Caenorhabditis elegans: one gene and its partners. The protein of the gene in region 3 purifies or fractionates together with the protein of the main gene of each other region. This does not show direct contact. Each region holds a gene or a part of one and is shown on either strand. Other genes may lie near its edges.

Evidence for each region.
Region 1: the proteins of saeg-1 (region 3) and saeg-2 purify together in Caenorhabditis elegans (affinity purification with western blotting, with the first as the bait; one study listed by BioGRID). This does not show direct contact.
Region 2: the proteins of saeg-1 (region 3) and egl-4 purify together in Caenorhabditis elegans (affinity purification with western blotting, with the first as the bait; one study listed by BioGRID). This does not show direct contact.

The regions. Positions count from the first base shown.
Region 1 is NC_003281.10:9,236,909-9,243,840, forward strand, and holds saeg-2 (Suppressor of activated egl-4 protein 2), read left to right. Parts: upstream 1-3,454; 5' UTR 3,455-3,513; coding exon 3,514-3,585; intron 3,586-3,776; coding exon 3,777-3,860; intron 3,861-3,906; coding exon 3,907-4,164; intron 4,165-4,394; coding exon 4,395-4,649; intron 4,650-4,698; coding exon 4,699-4,820; exon of another isoform or gene 4,821-4,885; intron 4,886-5,099; exon of another isoform or gene 5,100-5,161; coding exon 5,162-5,288; 3' UTR 5,289-5,606; downstream 5,607-6,932. Other genes in the region: dat-1 (Sodium-dependent dopamine transporter), read left to right, coding at 6,067-6,085, 6,462-6,580, 6,629-6,932. UniProt on the Caenorhabditis elegans protein: As a likely component of a histone deacetylase complex, together with saeg-1 and hda-2, functions downstream of the cAMP-dependent kinase egl-4 to regulate the expression of genes required for egg-laying and foraging.
Region 2 is NC_003282.8:1,845,463-1,852,717, forward strand, and holds the start of egl-4 (cGMP-dependent protein kinase), read left to right. Parts: upstream 1-2,608; coding exon 2,609-2,764; intron 2,765-4,202; coding exon of another isoform or gene 4,203-4,229; intron 4,230-7,255. Other genes in the region: ccm-2 (CCM (Cerebral Cavernous Malformation) gene homolog), read left to right, coding at 1,246-1,387, 1,458-1,516. UniProt on the Caenorhabditis elegans protein: Promotes chemoreceptor gene expression in response to increased cGMP levels by antagonizing the gene repression functions of the class II HDAC hda-4 and the mef-2 transcription factor.
Region 3 is NC_003283.11:10,861,673-10,868,757, reverse strand, and holds the start of saeg-1 (Suppressor of activated egl-4 protein 1), read left to right. Parts: upstream 1-3,058; coding exon 3,059-3,175; intron 3,176-3,325; coding exon 3,326-3,430; intron 3,431-3,912; coding exon 3,913-3,993; intron 3,994-4,039; coding exon 4,040-4,189; intron 4,190-4,235; coding exon 4,236-4,340; intron 4,341-4,396; coding exon 4,397-4,488; intron 4,489-6,688; exon of another isoform or gene 6,689-6,822; intron 6,823-7,085. UniProt on the Caenorhabditis elegans protein: As a likely component of a histone deacetylase complex, together with saeg-2 and hda-2, functions downstream of the cAMP-dependent kinase egl-4 to regulate the expression of genes required for egg-laying and foraging.

The DNA of each region.
Region 1 (6,932 bases), on a different chromosome or scaffold from region 3:
TTGCAGATGCTAAAACAATTTCCAAGTAAAAAAATTATGTATTCAGTGGGCAAGCAGCGGTGAAAGTGGTCAATGCAATATGATGGATTACGGGAATACAAAACCTAAACTTTTTCTGAAACATGATACATACGATGCTTAGATGCTGATTTTCATAACGAGACCGCTGAAAAAGTTTTGAGGTTTTCAAAATTCAACTTTTTGTGCGAAAATCTCGACTTTTTCACCAAAAAAGTTGAATTTCGGAAACCTCAAAACTTTTTCAGCGGTCTCGTTTATGAATCAGGTAGTCTCAGCATTTAAGCAGCATATGTATCATGTTTCAGAAAAAGTTTAGGTTTTGTATTCCCGTAATCCATCATATTACAATGCCCACTTTCACCGCTGCTTGCCCACTGAATACATGATTTTTTTACTTGGAAATTGTTTTAGCATCTGCAAAAAATATTTATTTATCAGTTTTATTAAGAAAAAATGAAAAAAATCGATGAAAAACAAAAGAAAACAGGCGGAAAACAAAGCAAGATAATGGCCGCTGAAACTTGTCGGCCCCTCGGCCATGACCTAGAAACCACTTTTCCTCGTCCCTCGTGAGGAAAAAGTTGCAGTGAGGTGACCGCTAAAAAAATGTAAATATTGATAAGGACATAATAAAGTTAAAGCGACAAAGAAAAAACAAGGAAAATATGATTCAAAACGTATATTCTCTAATCGGAACAATACAATAGCGTCAACAATATGACACATTTATTGAAAATAGAAAATCCAAAAAGAAAATTGAATCAAAACTCTGCTTGGAGCGTAATACAACAATCCAAGAGAGAATAAATGATCTTTCAACTAGCTTATCAGTTTCAAATTCAATACAACCCATCAGTCTATTTCTATCAGAGAGTGACCAACGTTACTGATAAATAGAATACGACTGTTTTGGCTTGAAAAGTCTGTTAGATTGTTTCAAATGAAGTGTCAAAAGAACCAATAAAGCATGGTCAGTGAGTGTTGATCGGCAAAAAATGGAGCTGAAGTGTAAGTAAACTTCAAAGTCATGTGGGTGTAAAAAAGAAGGAATTCGAATTTCAACGGACCGGAAAACATCGATATGTGCCATTTTCATTTTTTTTATTTCCTGGTTTTCGTTCAATTTTATGCTTTAGGCTGCTGAGTCCCACAAAAACACTTTTTTTGTAGAAAAGAATGCAACAATAATTTGTGCGAAGATTGCATGGAAGAAAGGAAAAAAAGCAACACAAAAAATAGAAGAGGAATGCAAGGCAGTTGCCGTCAACTTGACGGGCGGGAGGGAAAATGCAAGAACGACAGGGCAGGAGGGTCTTGAAATGGCACTTTGTGTATATATTAGAAACGGGGAATTCTGGAGGAGGAGAAGCACAAAATGAGCACAGGAAGGAAGGAGAGAACAGAGCAAGACGAGTCTTTCAAAGGAGAAGAGGGCCTAATTTCAATGAGCTGCGCTTGGTCAAAGACTTCTCGAAAATCAATGCAGACAGAGGGAAAGAGAGAGAGAGAGAGAGCGAGTGAAGAACAGGTGCTAGGCTTCATATCTAGAGCTGATAGTGTGAACTTATGTTTTCAGTGATGCATTTGAAAAATTCATACACAATTTCAGTTTTTTTTGAGTCTCTAAATTATTTTTTCCAGATTCTAACCAATATTTTAAATAAAACTGAGTTTTTCCACAATAATAATTAAAACACTACAGACCTCTACAGAAAACTACAATCAAGTGATCATAATAGGATCATGCTCCCCCACAAATTAGATGAACACAGAGCACAAAAATAAGAAAAACAGCTATCCAGACAGGCAGACATATCGGTCACACGAAGGGACAAAGAAGGGAAGAAAAGTATTCGTGAGCACAAACAACAACCCATCACTTTGTTTGTGCAAAATAAAGACCTAGTGAAACTGCTTCCACGAAAGCGACTGCCGTCTTGAATTGCGAAGGACCCACCCGCGGCGGTTCTCATTGTTTTTTGGAGCAACTAGAATTCGAAATGAACGGAACCGAAGATGAAAATAATAATTTGAAAAGATCGATGAGAAAGAGGGTTTTCCATCGCGGCTTTGAGACAGACAGCGATCATTGAAAATGGATATTTGTAGTGCAAACTCCTTGCGCGCCAACACAACAGCTAGCGTGGTGAACAAATCGGAGGAGTGTGTGAAATGTTTTGGAAATATTCAGAGACATATTGATGTTTATAAATTTGATTATTTCTCGAGCGCTAGAGAAAATCTTGATTTCAGAAATGATGCTGGTTGACACAAACGCCAAATGGCAACAGCTGAACTCTACTGGAAAAAAGCCTAGCTATGACGCAAATGGTTTTCAAGAATATCCAGGTACGCTTCGAGAGATATCACCATGGCATGCTCATATTATAGGTTAAGAACAAAGACGGCCTTTCTGAATATGACATGAGGAAGAGGAGGAGAAAATTTTATATACACTCAATAAATCAGATTTATACTAATTTAGTCCGTTCAAACTAAACATTTTTATTCTAGACAGCTTCACATCAGCAGATATAAGAAGTAAAAAATTTGAAACAATTTAAATAGGTATAATCAGAATCAATGTCTTGACTCACTATTACGCTAACATAGGAATTAAATATTACTCCGACGCAAAATTTCCGTAATTTTGCGTTAAAAATACGGTATCCGGTCTCGGCACGAAATATGTTGTTAAATACAAGAATGTGCGCGCCTTTAAAGAGTACCGTTCTTTTAGCGTAAGAAACGCAAGATTTCGAGTATGGACAATATCAAAACTGGATGACAAATTAAAGAATGATCGCTTTCGTTTTCGAAGAACAGATTTTTAAACTTTTTTCACAACTTTAATACTATTTGACAAAGATAGAATCGAAAATACGCAACACGGAAGAATATAACAAATGACACAAAAACAGAACCGTCGAACTGATTACTGTGTGATTGATTGGTTTAGTGCGAACAAGTGTTTGTCCAAATGTTCCAACCGGATCGCCGATTTGTCTCTTTCCTCTCACCACGAAATAGAAAAACAAACATTAGGTTTATCAAAACTGACCAATGTCTTTGATCTTATCAAGCTACTACTCTCAATCTACCACCTTCGGAGAAAAGTGAACATAGGAAATGGAAGAAGAGGGAGCATGGACATCATAACTAGTAGAGAAAAAAGCGAAACAAAAACCACAAACTCTGTGCGATGGGCAAAACCAACGGAGAAGTGAGTTGAGAGAAGGCAGGGAGAGCGTGTCAGGGAGAGAGTATGAGGAAAACATGCCGCCTGGAGAGTCGCAGAGAGTGCTGCGTCTTTTCTGCGTCTATCCAAAAGACGATAGTATTTTCCAGCCAGCTAGCATGACTGCCACTTTTATTTCCTCTTCTCTTTTTTCTACGTAGTCACCCATATACACTCAAATCTTAAAATTTAAATTTTCAGCACTGAAAATGTTCGAACGGCAAACTGGAAATGGGAATGGCAACAAAATGAATATGAGGATAGTGATTCTCGATGAATTGTTGAGCAGAGAAATGGATGGAAGCAACGATGGATCGTCAGCAAGAGTTAGTTCTTTTTAAAAATTGTGAACAGTGTTGGATGATGCATTATGACAATCAACTGATTTAATTTAAACATTGCCCTGCAAAAAGTGTGAATTTTAATCGAGTTTTTTGTGGAGGATGAAAAAGAGTTAAATTTTGCTAAAAAAGCAACAAAAAACTCACACCGGAAAAAGAAATTGGGAAAATTTCAGGTAAATTCATTGAAGCACGTGATAAAAAGGAACAAAATGGATATGGCAGACGATGCACCATCTTCGTTGGATCTAATGAGACGGGTATGGACTGTTAATGTTTCAAGTAATTAAAATGAAAATTATTCAGATTTTCCAAGCGGAAATATCGAGAGAAATCCATCAGATTATGGAGAGGCATACTAGAACAACGCTATTACCAGCTATCGAAAATCTCCGCAAAAATGGGCATGTTGTTGACGAATCAGTTTTGAATGGTTTGTACTGTAACATTTTGGAGGCTGCAAAGAAGCCATATCAAAAAGATCCGGAGCCTATGCCACCGATTTGTACAAATGGAAATGGGTTCCTTGATATCAACAGTCAAGAACATGAGAATAATTTAAAGGTAATTCAAATCTCAAATCGAATAAAGAATGAAAAACTATATTTTTCAATTCTAGAAAATATCTGGAAAATTTTCGCCGACTGTTTTCAAAAAAGGACCTTTCAAAACTATTTTAATAGATACAACGGAAGTAATTAAAGCAAATTTTGGCGACGATTTCAAAACTTTAATCACTACGGCGTGGTTAAAAAATACAAAACAAAGTATATCAAAAATGCTGATATTTTCAGAGAGGATACGAATCGGATAGCTCAGACGTGTCTGGAGTCAGCCACTGCTCCGATGCTAAAAGACGACGAGGTCGTCCACGTAAAGATGAAGAAGCATATCGACTAGAAATGACGCCACCGACAATGAACGAAGTCATTCGGTGGAATCCGGACAGAATCGATGTGAACACCCGTTTTATAACGGCGACAAAAATTGCGCAAGTGATGGGAATGCCCCCGTCGATTCTGTTCAACAAGTATCCACGAATGTTTAGAGTAAGTAACTGGAAATCGGCAATTTTCAAAAACTGTTCTACCGTTTTAGTATTCCTGCGATGAAGATGACAAAAATATTCTACATGAGCAAAATCTTCTCATCAGGGCACCCGGTAGATGCTATCTTCTGGTTGCAGAAGATGCTCGTCAGCTAGTTCCCTCCACTTACTTGTAAGTTTTTTCTACAAATTTAAAAGAGAAAACCAAAGAAAAATATAAAGGAAATGATTATCCTACTCCAACAAAACTCTCCGAAAAATAATTATTGCTCTAAATCGCATCGCGCTTCGCCGAGCAGCACTTCCCTCACCTACCGATCAAAAATAACAGATTACAACGAAACAGGTAGAAAAGAAGTAGAAAATATCTAGAAATGAGAGAAAAATTGGTTGATAATAAAAAAAAGTCCGTAAAAAGATAGCAATTAAAATTAGAGCGATTGTCCACGAGAAAATTGTGAGAATATTCAGAGAGTTCTATAAATTTTTGAAAATTTAGCATTTTTATTTCAGCCAAGATGTCCTCAACGTCTCATTCCTCATCTCCGAGCCACTGCTATCAAAAATTCGCCAAAAAGCGGCATCAACCTACGAGAAGTACAAAGTCTTTCTGCCCACACAACCGAATAATTATCTCTGAAATGTTTCTAGTCGTTTTTGTATTTTAAAGCACATTCCCAATTCTGAATACTTTTCTGAAATCCATGAAATGGAACTTGAATCCAGTTTTCACTAAAACGACCTCATACACTTTCTCTCGTATCCTCAAAATATCTATGACATTATCATTAGCTTCGCTAGTTTCATTTCTTTCAAATATTATGCATTCTTAAATTCCGATACCCGCGTGCAAAAGTGCTCTATTGAGCAACTTTGGGATCATATGTACACACCAATGCCCTTTTCCCAAATCTTTTCCTGTCCTTTTCTCTAAAAACAATAAATCCATGCCTATTCCAGTATGACCCCTTTGAAGCAGATATAATCGCACAAACATATACACATAGCTCGGATAAATGTAGAAAAAGAAGAAAAGAAGTATAAGTAGATAGATGCTTTCCGGCAATTATCCACCGCACCGTAGTCTTCACCAACTGAGACTGCGTCGTTAGGAGACGCCGACATGATTCAGAAGCAGAATTTGGAAGAAAAACGACGATGATATTGAGGCTGGCACACATACACCGGAATATTCGACATGCCACCACATCTAGATTCCAAGGCAATCTCTACCTCTTCCCATTCTTTCGGTTTTTTTGTTCTGACAAGAAAAGTGGATAGCTACGGGCTCAATGAGCTGATTTTATTTTTAAATATCTTAAAACTATACTAGATTCATGTGTTTTCAGGTCCATATTCCAAATTAGTCGAAAAGCTGATCCCGCTACGGTTTACTCGAATCTCAACAATTTTTAGCCATGCAGTTGGTGCCTACAGGTATTTCGTTTTTTGCCCGACTCTTATTTATCTGTAGACTTTCGTTATAAAACAAAGCTATCTTTCTGAAATTGTTATTACGTAGACGCCTCAAGATGAGAATCTTCGCCAAATCTTACGCACATGGGTCTCGCCACGCAAACAAAGAATATGATACAATAGCGGTCTGCAAATTGACATGAGTTACAGTAATTCGTTCTCCGCGTGGCGAGACCCGCGGCTAAAGTTCTCATCCTTAGAGACCAACGTAACACTCTGGGTATAGTATAACTTACCATTAAAATTTTTTTTTAAGTTTTATAATTCTTCACAGGGTTTAACATTAGATTAAAAATTAGTCGGTGACTTCTAACTAAAGTTAAAATCAAATCTTCAGACGATCCCGACGAAAAAATCGGTCGGACGTCTAATGGCATGCAAAATGCAACTCTTCCTATTGATGGACCAGTTAATACAGAACCCAAAGATCCAGCAAGAGAACAGTGGTCTGGAAAGGTAAGATCCATCTTGCCTGTAATTCTACATATGAACCCATCTTTTCAGCTGGACTTCCTTCTCTCAGTTGTCGGGTTTGCTGTAGATTTGGGAAATATATGGCGATTTCCATATCTTTGCTTCAAAAATGGAGGAGGAGTATTTCTGATTCCTTATTCTATAATGGTCCTGTTGACAGGAGTTCCACTATTCTACATGGAGTTGTGCCTCGGCCAGTATTATAGAAAAGGAGCAATCACAACTTGGGGAAGAATATGTCCGTTGTTCAAAGGAATCGGATATTGTGTTATTTTAACCGCATTCTATGTGGATTTCTTTTATAATGTGATCCTTGCCTGGGGGCTTCATTATT
Region 2 (7,255 bases), on a different chromosome or scaffold from region 3:
TACTGTGTAAAAATTCGGGTTTTTTTTTTCAAATTTTTGGGTTGATCCGCCATGTTTTATGGGTTCCGAGCTGCCTAGCTTTCTTGTGAACGTGGCCTAGTTTTCAGAAACTCGGCCACGCAGAAAATCGAAAACATGGTGCATCGATGGTGAAAAAAACTTGATTTTTTGCCCCAATTACCACGTGGTGTCAGAGTGTCTCATTTCGGCTTGATCTACGTTGATCTACAAAAAATGCGGCAGAGTTCTCAACTGATTTCGTATGGATAAGAAGGTGCCGACGTCACAATTTTTCGGTGAAAAAATTCCCGCATTTTTTGTAGATCAAAACGTAATACGTTTTGATCTACAAAATTAATGGGACAGCCTGGCACCACGTGCAATTGTTCTAAAGTTCCCCAAAACGTCGATGCATCATATTTCTGATAATAAAATTCTACCATTTTAAACTGATTTGCCCAACAAAATGCCCCAAAATCCCTTAAAAATTTTACAATTTTTGCCCTCTGACGTCATTCTAAAAAGTTTATTTATTGGGAAATTGCTTGGTTTATTTTTAGTTTTTTCTCCTTGAAATCCAAAAAAAATCTGACATTTTCAAGAGCACCGCATTCAAAATTAATGGGAGTTTCTTTTCTTTTTTTTTTTTTGAAAAACATTTCGTATAGAAATGATGAATTTTAAAGAAGAAAAGAAATTTTTTTTTCGAAATGTGAATTATCAAACAGAAAACTGAAGTTATGTTAAGTCAGATTTTTTAAAGTCCAAACTAAGAAAATTCGAAAAATTCTGGGATTTCTTTTGCTGAAGATTCCGCAAAAAAAAACCGAACATTTTCATGTTTCCCTACAAGCTTGTGGTTTTATAGCATTTTTTACAAAAATTGTGTTCTAAAAATCTCCCTTTTTGGCTTTTTTTCGCTGAAAATTTGAAATATTCGACTTTTGCCGTCAAAAACCGGTAAAAATCAATTTTCACATAATTTTTCTGTTGCAAAATATTTAATTTTATTTTAATTTTATTTCTCAATTTTTCTCCTAAAATTCAGTTTTATTGTTGGAATTCATGGAGTTTTTGCCTGAAAATGAGAGTTTAAAAATATATTATTTTCACACATGTCGTAAGATTCTGCGCTCGATCCGCATTTTTCTCCATCCGTGTTTGCGTACTTTCGTCACACGCGAGTTTAATGAAATTTAAATCGAAATTTATCAATTTTCTCATCATTTTTTCCTTTTTTTTCAGGTTCTCTCTTGTCTCCGCCCCGAAGAAGTTCCACATTTTCGCGAAATTATCAAGAAATACAATAGCGGCGAGCAAAATGTGAAGATTTTCGCGCAAAAGCTCGTCGAACTGCTCGGCCCCGGACGAAAAAAGCGTCTTTCATGTGAGTTTCTACAACACTCCCCTCTTTTCTTTTCTTCGAATTCAATGCAATTTCCTGTGCCAATTTGCAGACCTGAAACATGCGTTGAGAGCCGGCGACATGCTCCAATTCGACTCGGCGATTCTTTGAAATACGCGGGTCGTCAAAATGCGGGTGAGTGTCTTCGTCGTGAAATTGCAATTTTTCTTTTTTTTTTAAAGAATTTTTATCGTAGAAAATTCTGTTTATTTATTATTTAATTTTGCAGGGAGATGCTGATGAAGATGTGGCGGAGACGGATGGATTTCGATTGGATTTTTTCTTTTTTTTACATTTTTTTTCAAATTTTCTCCTCTAAAAGTCGGTTTTTCTGTGAAAACTACCCGCAAAATCTGAGAATTTCGCGTTTTTTTTCTGAAAAATTGCGTGAAAAACCACAATCCACTTGGATTAAGCTGAAAAATCGGCAATTTTGTATATTTTGTCAGGATTTTGATTTAAAAATCGAATTTCTTGTGAAAAATTTGCTTTTTCGGTGAAAGTCGGTTTTTCTTGAAATTTTGCACGAGGTTTCTCCTGAAAATTGGCTTTTCTTAGATTTTTTTTCATAAAATTCCCGGAAAATTTGTGGTTTACTCAAAAAATGCCCCGTTTTTCCAATTTTTTCCTGTAAATTTGGTGGTTAAAAAATGACGAATTTTTTGCATTTTGTGGAAAATATTTGTTCGGAAAAATCACAAAAATTCTCGAATTTCGTGTAAAAATATAGAGAAAAACGACATTTTTTCCGCTGAAAATTGAGTTGTCTTAGATTTTTCTGATATAATTCCCTGAAAATTAGTGGTTTTCTCAAAAAAAAATGCACCGAATTTTTTAAAAAATTCCACGTAAACATGCGCAGAAAATTCCTTTTTTTTCTGAAAATTTGAGCAAAAATTGCCGAATTTTCTTCAAAAATGATGTTTTTTTCGCAAAAACTCAAATTTCGTGTGAACATTTTCGGAAATTTATCGAAAAAACTGCATTTTTTCGCTGAAAATTTGAATTTCCTCTCGATTTCTCTCTCACTTTTCCGCATTTTTTTCCGTTTTTTCCTCCCCGCTCCGCTCAAAAAAATCAATAAATAAATACTTTTACAGATCAAAAGGTGATACCTCCGACGCCCGCCATCCACCACATCCACTCACAATCCGAAAATTAATCGATAAAACAATAAAGCGACCAGCGGAAAATCAACTGGAAATGAGCTCTGGGAGCCGTCCGTCGAGCGGCGGTGGTGGTGGTGGCGGAGGAGCCAGTGGTGGAGCCGGTGGTGGTGCTCCAGGTGGTGGTGGAGGTGGAATCCGTGGATTCTTCTCCAAACTTCGTAAGCCGTCTGATCAGCCGAATGGGAATCAGGTTAGAGTTTTGTGGGAGGTTTTTTTGCAGGAAAAATCGCTGAAAAATGATTAAAATTTACCTTTGTGTAGATTTACGGGGATTTTGGGGGAAAATATGCGGGAAAATGGGCAAAAATGATATAATTTTGATAAATTTGGCCTAAAAATCCCGAGTTATTCGGTCATAATGTGCTCAGGACTTTGTAAAGACCTATGTGGATTTACGGGGGTTCAGTGTCGATTTACGAGACTGTAATGTCGATTTACGGGGGTTCAGTGTCGATTTACAAGACTGTAATGTGGATTTACGGGGGTTCAGTGTCGATTTACGAGACTGTAATGTCGATTTACGGGGGTTCAGTGTCGATTTACGAGACTGTAATGTCGATTTACGGGGGTTCAGTGTCGATTTACGAGACTGTAATGTCGATTTACGGGAGTTCAGTGTCGATTTACGAGGGCTGTAATGTCGATTTACGGGGGTTCGGTGTCGATTTACGAGACTGTAATGTCGATTTACGGGAGTTCAGTGTCGATTTACGAGGGCTGTAATGTCGATTTACGAGGCTTTAATGTCGATTTACAGGGGTTCAGTGTCGATTTACGGGATAACATTTTCCGAAATTTTACTGAAATTCGACTAGTTTTGGAATGAAATCCTTCAATTTTGCAAAATCTTTCCAGGATTATTTGGTGTTTTCCGCAGCTCCGTGTATATTTACGGGGGCCTGTGTCGATTTACGAGAGTTTTTTTTCAATTTGGCGAACTCAACATTTGATTTGAGTTTATACCATAAATGCAGTTTTCTAAATTGAAAATTTCAAAAATCTGTGTAGATTTACTGATGCCTATGTCGACTTACGGGCGAAACTTTTGGTGATTTTCACCAATTTCAGCCAGATTTTCAAAATTTTCAGGTTTTTTGTGCACAGAAATGGTATCAACTTTGACATTTTTTACACATTTCCGGTTGAAATCCTCGGATTTTTGCTAGATTTTGTCTGAACTTCTAGATTTTCGTGACCAGAGATCATTGTCACTTTGTGTGGATTTACGGAGGAGCCGATTGTCGATTTTCTGGATTTTCTGCGGTTTTTCCGGGGTTTTTGGTGCTCCAAATGGAAAATTCTTCCGAATTATTGCCTAGACTCTTCCGACTATTCTGCTGGTTGTTCCGAGTTTTTCAACACATATTTTTCCAATTTCCCGCTCCGGAGCTCTCCGCCAATTCTGCTGCTCGGCTCTCTCCACAGGACGCCTGCAATACGACACCAACTGTTGTTTGATGGCTCCATGGGGGTCGCGTAATGATCATGTTCATGTCGACTTGACGAAATTCCTCTTATCACAACAAATTGAGCCTGGTGATAGCAGACCTGGTGGTGAAGAGTTTTCCGTATTTCTAGTCCTATATTCCGTGCTGAAATGTGTGGAAGTGTCTGAGTATGAAAAGATGATGAAGCAGCAGCCACCCAGGATTTATGTGAGTTTTTGGCGGACCGAAAACTTGGAGAATTGGAATTTGATTGGCATTTTTTCGCCTTAAAATGCGACCTAGTGGGGGCTAAATCCCAGATTACGGTAGAAATTTCAGAAGTTCAGCTCTAAAATTAGAAAAATCATCGACATTTGAGCAAGACATCAGGATTACCGAAAATCTGAAATTTTTAGGCGAAAGCTTGGATTTCCGATGGCTTTTCAGTTTTTAAAATTGACAATTTCAATAGTCTAATAATGGATTTTTCCTCGAAATTTCGCCCAGAATCACGGAAGAAAATCGATTCTCATCTGAAAATTCGAATTTCGCCTTCACCGCATACGCGCCCCACTGAGAAAGTTAGGCATTTTTTCTCATTGGAGCGTGTTTGCTACTAAATCCACGTAGATTTTTCTATTTTCCGACAAAAAAATAACTGCAAATTGATCGATTGATCTGAAAATTGATATATTTTTTTATGAAAAAAAAAAAGTAATTCTCTTATCAATCCCTATCGGCCGAACTGACGTCATGTTGTTCCCCACAGCTCAAAGCTTTCGAAACAGTGAAAACTCGGCCATTACTAAAAATGCCAAAATTCGCAAAAATTCGAAATTTTGGCAGAAAAAGGCGGCGGCCACGAGCCGAAAAATCTCGGCCACTTCACGGAGTTTATAGAATAACCGAACAATTTCTTTTGCTTTTCGGTTTACACCTGCTTCCCGGTGAAAAGTCTAGAAAAATTTGAGCTTTCTGAATAGAAAATACATCTAAATTGCCATTTTTTTCCTGTTAAAGATCGCAGAAATTCAATTTTTCCGATATTTTGGCAGAAAAAGGATGAGATTTGACCCAATCTTCCTATAAATTGTTACTTTTTCCCATAGCTCAAAGATTTCCGAACAGTGAAAACTCGACCATCACGTGGTGCCAGGTGTGTCCCATGTCGGTTTGATCTACGTTGATCTACCAGAATGCGCGGGAAATTGGACGCAGACTTTTCAACTTATTTTGCATGGCTAAGAACATGCGGACGTCACATTTTTTAGGCCAAAAAATCCCGCATTTTTGTAGGTCAAACCGTTATGGGAAAGTCTGGACCATACCGATTTGTTCCTCGGTTTTTCACGTGCTCGTGGTGTCAAAAAATTCCAGCTTCCCAGACCACGTCTCACCTGGAAAATTGATCGATTTACGATTTTTCAGAGTCGAAATTCGCAAAAATTCAATTTTTCGAAATTTTGGCACACAAAATTTCTGAAAATTGAACAATTGATCAGAAAAAAATTCGATAGTTCTTCTTATCAATTTTCTCAATGGTATTTTCTTCCTGGTGAACTCTTCCTTATGCACAAGTGTACGTGCTCTTGTGCAATTGTGCATTGCACAAAAAACGGGTGAGCCCATGCCGATAGGGACGACCGACGCTAATAGGATTTTCCTCCCGTCGTCGGGCCGTTTTTCTCATTTTTTACAAGCCAGTTTCATTTTTTTATGCCCAAAAAAAAAAGTTTTACTTCATTTTTTTTTATTTCAAGGCCCCACCACCCCTCGTCGTCATCACTATTTTTGGACGTTTTGCATTAAAAATATGTGCGCCCTCCCATTTTGCCAATTTACTTTTTTTTAATCACCTGCCTGCCTGCCCCGGCTGTGTGTCAACAACACACAGAGAGAAACACAATTTTTGAAAAAATACAACTTTTTTTTGTTGTTTTTGATCTCTGTCGCCCAACGAAATTGAGTGAAAGACTTGATTACCTATTTTCTAAGAAAATTGAATTCCCGCCCTGGGGAGACACACACACACAGGAAGCACATTTTTTCTGCAATTTTCCAAGAAAAATCTGAAAACTTGTTGAAAAATGAGAATTTCCCACGATCACATGCATCAAACGCGCCCTAATGAGAAAAGTATTCAATTTTCTCACTGGGGCGCGTTTGCAATATGCGATCGGCGGGACATTTGAATTTTTTTTGTGTGCGGACACTTAATTTTATGCACTTTTTGTTTACTTATTTTCCTGTCCTTGAAGCCCTTTTTCTGCAATTTTTCAAATAAATTTCCACTAGAAATATTTTTTGCTCCGCAAACGCGCTCTAATGAGAAAAAAAGCGAATTTTCTCACTGGGGCTCGTTTTCTGAATGTTATCAGTTTTTTACCATTTTTCGAGACGAAAAATCTAGATTTCTACGAAAATGTACGTGGCATCCCAGAATTTCTGCCTTAAAAAAAATGAAAATGTGGAAATTTAAAAATTTCTGAAAATTTTCAAAAAGCTTTTGAATTTGTCCGTGGGGCCCGAGAATTTCTGCGAAAAAAAAGCAAAAATATCCTTTCGTTTTCCTGCCTCATTGACTCTGAATCAGGTAGAAAAGAAAAGGAAAATGGAATTAGAACACACGGGCGGTCTCGAGACAAGAAAAAAGTCAAGGAACAGGAGCTGTTTTTGTCGGCCCAATTTTTCACAGAGAAAAAGGAAAGTAATTTCCATTTTCAGCCTAACAAAGCTGCCTCGTTTTTTGTATGTTCATTCATGACAGAATAGTGTGGGAATTGGTTTCTGAACACCTTTTCTTCGTCGATTTTTTCTGTCTTCGAATTTGCCGAGATTCTTATCTTGTTACGCCTCTTGTGCGCCTTTAAAGATCACTTAGAAATCGTTAGATTTTTATTTTGTTTCTTTTTCACCGTCACGTCACTTTTACTATTGACATTTTCTGGTTAATTACTGTAGTTCTACAGTAATCCAGAAATTTCGAAGTTTCCATGAAAAAATATTGTCAGAATCAAAGATTTTCTCGTGTGGCAAAAGTCAATTTCCGTTTAACATTGAATTTTCGAAAATTGTTTTCGAGAGAGAAGCTGAAATTCGAAAATTCAGAATAAAGGATTTCTGAGAATCTTTCTCTCGAAAAACTGGAAAACTAAATTTCCCGTCTTTTCCTAAAAATTCGATTTTCTGCGAATTTCGATCTGAAAGTAATTGTTTCTCAGTTCCACGTGGGAGTTCTCAAAATTTTCTTGTCA
Region 3 (7,085 bases):
GAACTTTATCTAACACCGATTTTTAAATTGATATATTCTGTTGCCTGAAATCTTAACTTTTCCATACACCATACATATATACCGGCCATCAAAATCGCTAAGATATTTGTATTAATGAAAATTAGAGAAATCTTCTATCTCTTCTTGTTCAGTTTTTGATTTATGTTCTCAGTTATTCAGTTTGTCATGTTTGCTCCATTGATAAATCATTTCAATGGAATAGGTCTTCATTCTGTTGTATGAATCTTGCAATGTCCTCTCCAAAGCTGATACAAAATAAGATCGGTGTTCAATGATTGAAAAACATTTTTTACCTTTCCGAAAAAACTAAATCAAATTTTTTGAGTTGTGGTCTCTGGTCTTTCACATCTTAAGAATAACAGTTTTTTTGAGATCAGCTTGTTTCAAATAAATCTTAAGACTATATCCTATTCCATTCATGAGCTTTCCTCTTTGATTTGAAAGTCATCATTGAGAAACGTGACCAAATGAATTATTAACAAAAACTGCTTTCAATCAAAAATGCAGTCAAGAAAAAATGAATAAAGAATTCACATCTTCACATTATATATTTCATTCTTTATATACTTTTAGATTTATTCTAGCTTCATTTACTTTGCGGTGGTGTCTTCAACCTATCGGTATGATTTTTATCGCCATTTGAACTCGATCTTTTCATTTTATGATTCCTTTTGGTTGGTATATTAACAAAAGTCTTGTGGTTCGCTGACAGTTATGACAGAAAATTTTTTTGTAAATGAAATTCAATACTTGAAAACTTCTAGATCAAGGAAAAAGTTAGCATAATATCAACTAAAAATATTAAATTATTTCCTTTTTCAATATTATTCTAGTTGTTTTTCATAAGCGTACAAACGCAAAACGGATTTCCGTATAAACATTGGAATTCCGTTTTGCGTGCCTTGTTTTTAGCTAGTCACGTGATTTCCACGTCATTTCAGCCGCTCTACACGAATTCAACGGAAAGAAAGAAACGATGATGATGGGTCGTTGCCTTTACTCTTTTCCTTTTCTCTTCTACTTCTTCCTCTCTTCATTTTTTCTTTTCTTTTCTCATTAAGGACTACTACTACTACAACTTTTATTTTTGTTCTCTTTCTCCATTTCCACCCACCCTGTTGTGCCCTTTATTGGTCAAAAGTCAAATGTCAGGTCTCCTTTTTCTCTATCTTTTGCTGTAATCAATCGACGAACGAGAACTGTTTTGTCGAAATTTTACACAGTTGCACAGAAAAAAGTATTTCAAACAAATTTGCATAAATATGATTGTGTCAATTGTCAGTTTCATGTGACGGATAGATTCTCCAAAAATTTATATTTCTGGAAAAATCTTTTAAAATCAGGCTACCGTAGTTTTCTTATGAGTATCGCATGCAAGTATATTTTTTGATAGATTATTTAATTTTTTTTAATTGTTATCTTGGAAAATATGAAAAGTTAATTTGCAGGCGTTTTGTTTAGCAGAGAGCACTTTTCATATGTTAGTTTGTTTATAATCAAGGCCAGACTAAACTTTCTATATTCAAGCGATTTTCATAGTAAAAGTGTCATGTGATCACTAAAACTAGTGCATAATAATGGTACAAAGAATTTGTTTAGACCCAAGCGGCCGAAATCTTATTTAACGTTTTTTCTCAAAGTAAGAGAACTAAAAATGGTTTTGGATCTAATTAATGTTTTTTTTGATAATCGATAACTAGTCCTCACACTCAAATTTCCAGTCCATCAAATGATCATGTATCTAAATTTAGTTAATTTGAGACATAGAAAAACATGATCTTCCTAAACACCAATGATCACTTATTATTCTTCGTTATATTTTCTTGTTTTGAAAGGTGTTGTGGCACCACGGAGTGGCGGAAGACCGAACCCTTTAAGCCTCAAGAGGAACCGAGCAACGAAGACTATGTCAGAGGTGCAGCATGGCATCGTCTATTTGTATATGTATTGGAAGGAACAGAACACAGTTTTAATAAATATGTTTATTACTCCAAAGGGGAGATAATCAACAGAGGGGGAATGGGTCGTACACAAGAGAGGGGGAAATCGTCTGGTGTGAGAATATCACGTCCTGCCACGCGGGTCTTTGGTCTGAAGAGGTCGTGTGTATGAATGGTCGGGGTCTCTTTGGGTATCAGAGCACGTACATAATATCAGTATGGGGCAACATAATAGAGAAGGGGGTTTGTCGGGGAGAGAGCTGTGCTACGCACGACCGTTCGGCACGGGCGCAGCAGGAGACACTGAAGTGGTGGCGTCCAATGGCTGCGTATCCTGTTGTTGGTTGAGTCGCCGCGCAGTGAAAGCACTGTGCGTCAGAGCAATCTTGTATTGTCTTACGTCGAAACCTCGTCCAAGAGATCTCTCATGAGATCGGAGGACGAGACATTGTGACATGGCGAGACAAGGGTCGAGCCAGGTCACAACAAAAGGTGAAGTTCATGCTCACTTATTATTTTTGAACGGATTTTAATATCTTAGTTTAGTTGATTCTTATTTCTGCTGGAGACTACTCTGCCACACTGAACTTAATTTCTTTTTATGAAAACCATCAATTGATCCTACAAAAAAGAAAGTTCACACCCATTATTATAACGACACCGCCGTACCTAAAAGAGGAGAGATCCACTCCCAGTTTCAAGTATCTTCGTTCTTTTTCTCTCATTTTAAACTCCTTCAGTTTGTAGTTTATGTGCTTTCATAAGTACTATTTCTTGTTCAAAAAATCAACCAGTTCAACACAAAAACTATCATGTAATGATACATAATGTTGCGCTTAACCCTTTTTTATTGATCATCACTTTTTTTTTTCATGCTCTCTGCTCTATCATCCCCGTTTTTTCATTGCTTTGATATTCAGTCATACCGTAAACCTTTTCCGAAAAAAACTCAATTTTCTTGTGTTTTGCTCCACAATATGCTTTTTAAAGTGTTATTATTTCAGATCAACGTGGATCAGTTGCACAATCCTTTTGAATGGGGTGCTCCTGATGTGCCCCAGCAACCGCCACCACAACCACCTCCAAATGAAAATCCAATGCCACCACCTCAACATCCTCCAAATTATTACGCTCCTAGAAGATCGATTTCCACTATAACTGGCCCAAATCGTAGAGATGTAGATGCTTTTTATCAAAATAATTTTCCAGAAAAGGTTTGCAATAGCAACACGAACATAAAATTAGTGAATATAAATATTCAAACGTGTTTTTCCATGAACGGTACTATTCACCAAAACACACAAAAAATGCATTAAAAATTGATATTGAGTAGGTGTCTTAAAATAAACTTTTAAACTTTTCAGAACGGAGGTTCCAGCGGAGAGCATGTTCCAGAATATCAAGCATCAGGGCAACAACACAGACCTTCAATTATGTCAGGGCAGTCACATCAGAACAATCATTTACCTGTAAGTTGTTTTATCCTAATCGATTTTTGGATCTAGTAGCTCAATATTCATATTCATACATTCCTTCAATTTTTTGTAAAAGAGTCATGACGAATTGATGCAATTTGGAGCATAGAAACGGCTGAATCCAAAAAAATCTAAAATTAACGCTAGCAAAAAATTTTTGGTCAGAGGAAAACTACTGGACCGAAACGTTTTAAAATTTGCATTGATATAGTTCTCACTATCTAGAATTTGCAAAACATATTTAACACGATTCAGAACAAAAATTTTTTGTTTATTAGTTATTTTCGATAACGAAAAATGTTGGCAAGAGATTGATTATATTTGTAATTTTGCAATCAACATAAAATTTCTATCATAATTAAGCAAATTTTAAAATTTTAAAAGTTTGAATTTCATATTAATAAACATAGTGTTTCCTATAAAATACGATATCCGAATATTTTCTTAATGTATACTAACAAAAATTTATTTTCCAGACAAAAAACTATTCTTACGAACCTCTCCGATTTTCACCACCCAACGTGACACCTCCACCACTTCAGTTTTCTACAAATACCGTAAGATATTCTATAATATTCCTGAATTTTCAAACCACTTTTTCAGGATGGAAATCGAAAAAATCAACGTGTTAGATTCAACGAGCTTCCTAACTATTCAACTCCAAATCATTATTCAGTTCCGCCTAGAAAGTGCTCATTGGCTCCAAATTTCTTCTCATCGCAAAACTCTCATCATATGTATCCCGATCAATATGTGAGAAATAGAAAGAAAAATAATTACTATTCAATCGCAATTTTAGACTCCTCGTACGTGGCAAAACAATGAGTTTATGCCAAATCATCAGGTCCATCCGTATCATGCTAATCACCAACAGCAACACCCTCAACAACATTGGAGAAATCAAGTGAGGATATTTTTTAATCCTTCTATTATTCAACATTCTAATATTTTTTGGTTCAGGCGGCTTCAAATGGTAATCACAATCCAATGTATATGAGAAAACATTCGGCCGGGCATGGAATAGAGATCAAACTAGATCATGTTGATAATCCGTAAGTTTTTTTTTTCTGTTTGAAAAGTTAATTTTCTGAGGACAATATATTTGATAGCGCTTTATTTTATCTCAAATGGTTGTAATTTTAAAACACGTTTCATATATATTTTTACGGACAAATCTTGGAAAGGTCTTGAAACAATAAATGTTCAAAATTAAAGACACTTTCTCAAAAAAAAAAAGACAAGCTCAAGAACTATTAAAAACATAGGTTAAAATTAATTTCAATAACAAAGTTTGTAGACTTTTGAATGTTCAGTTTTATCATTTTGACTTTTTTGCTTACCAAATATTACACTGCACATTTTTGGCGAACATCTGTTTTTCTTACCTCACATTACGAAAAAAATGCAAAAAAACTCGGATGACCATTTCAGCGACCGGGGCTAAATTTCGAAGCTGAAGTATTGCATATTTTTAGTTCCGGCTCTGGACAGCTCTAAACACAGCCTTCCAAAAATCATAGGTATCGTTGTAAAATCAGAGTATATATCAACTTCCTCTTTTTGTATACTGTATATCTTCTATTAATATGGCCTCCCTATTAGACTTGCACTCCCTATTAGTATTGCCCCCCCGGAGACCTTCCGAAAACTAGTATTGCACTCCCTATTAGTCTTGCACTCTCTAATAGTCTTGCGTTAACTTTTTTTGTATTGCAAACCCGTCTCGCTAATTTCAGGATTTCAACAAAAAAAAATTGCCTATTTTGCAACAGTTTTCACATCATTTTTACGAGATTGAAGTTTTTGAACTTATATGAAAATCAAATTTTCTGAATTTTTACATATGATTCGAGCTTTTTCAGGAAAAAACTAGTAAGCTCAAAGTCAGAAAATGTTCTGAAAATTAGTATTGCACTCCCTAATAGTCTTGCACTCCCTATTAGTATTGCAAGCGGGAAGACCATCTAAAAATAGTATTGCAGCCATATTAATAGAAGAAATACGGTAGTTGTTTTAACAGAAAATCAAAATCTTTACGAATACCCTTTCGAGGTGATGGATGTTGCGACAAATCACGTTGATGCATGATTTTAATTTCAGTGGCCATAAAGTTAACGAAACGCAATCAAATTTGTGCAACTGATAGATAAGAAATTGTTCGGTGCATAAGAAATTTTGGAATTCTCAAAAATTCAAATCTAGATAATTGTGCATTCAAAAAGACAAATATTTAATCAATAAACAAGCATTCGAATGCAAAACATTTTTACTCGTTAAACGAGTTACGCCAACGTTTGTATATTTTTCGTTCGAAAAAAAAAACACTTTGTACACATATTTATTCTAGGAAAAACAAACACGACCAGAGATTTATGAACTTTCCAGTTAATTATCTATATTTACAACGCAACGAAATTCTCAGAATATCCAAATACCCGTCACTGAAATGCCATATATTCTAGGGATGCACTTGCTCAAGATTTTTCATATTAGGGAAGACATATTTACGTAATGTGATTAGCTGAGATGCTAGTGTAACAAATTAATCTTAAATTAAAATTGTGATCCTTCCAAAATTAGAATTATAGAAATCGAGTTCAAAATATTCATTTCTCCACACATGGGGTTTCAAACATTTTGCGAGACCATTACGCAATTTCTTAATCTATAAAAAGAAAAGTTGCAAAAATGACGTAAGGAATCTAGTTATCTGATTCAAAAACCAATAAAATATCCTTGTCTGGTTAATCTAAAAGTTGTTTTGTATTTTCACAAATATCTAATTTCATAGTCTGGCACGAAAAGTCAAAAGAAAACATAGCAAGTACATGTTTTACTTGAAAAATTCGTGAAGAAAAATAGTATATGTTATTATCAGTTTCTATTTCATCTGCTTCTTCTTTTTTAGTTTCCTTTTCTACTTTGTTTTCATCACCAAACCCCTATTCGTTTCTCAGTCAAAACAAAAGAGAATGAGGTGTTCAGTTCCGTGAGATATGCCGGCTCAAAACATAAATATACCTTCCACTTTTGTCTGGTACATTCAGGAACGGTTTTTGGTCAACTAAATGAGAAACTAGTAAAGTACTATAAATGTAGACTATATTCAAATTGAAAAATCCATGTTACATCGTTACATTTTTTTTTTGTTATTTTTCAATTCATTTTGTTCCATGTTGTCTATTGCAGAAGACTTGTGACCGTAGTCGTTGTTTTCAACCGAAAAATTGGAAAAAAAGAGTAAGCGAGAGAGAGAGTGAAGAGAAAAAGGGAAAGAGGGCGTGAGGAGTATGTCTATATGTCTGCCCCAGTCTCAAAGCTTGTCTCTTTTTCTTTTCATCTTTCTTCAATATTTCCTTCTTTTTTTCTCCTGCCGCCTGAAAAAGGAAGAATTTAGTCCCTGAAATATCTGAGATTTCAAGCATTTCTGAGCATTCTTTTCGTTTCAAGACAGTCTGTGTGTAACCATTACTGTCAGTTTTGTTCCGTGTTTCAATTTTGATCAATTCTGATTTTTGGTTTTTTCCTGTGGTAGAAGGGTGAGAAAAAGAGGGTCTCGTCACGAGTATATAAGTATTTGAGATCTCACTTCGAATGTTGTTATTCAACAGTTTTTGTAATGTCTGCGAAATGATTTTTATACTTTTTT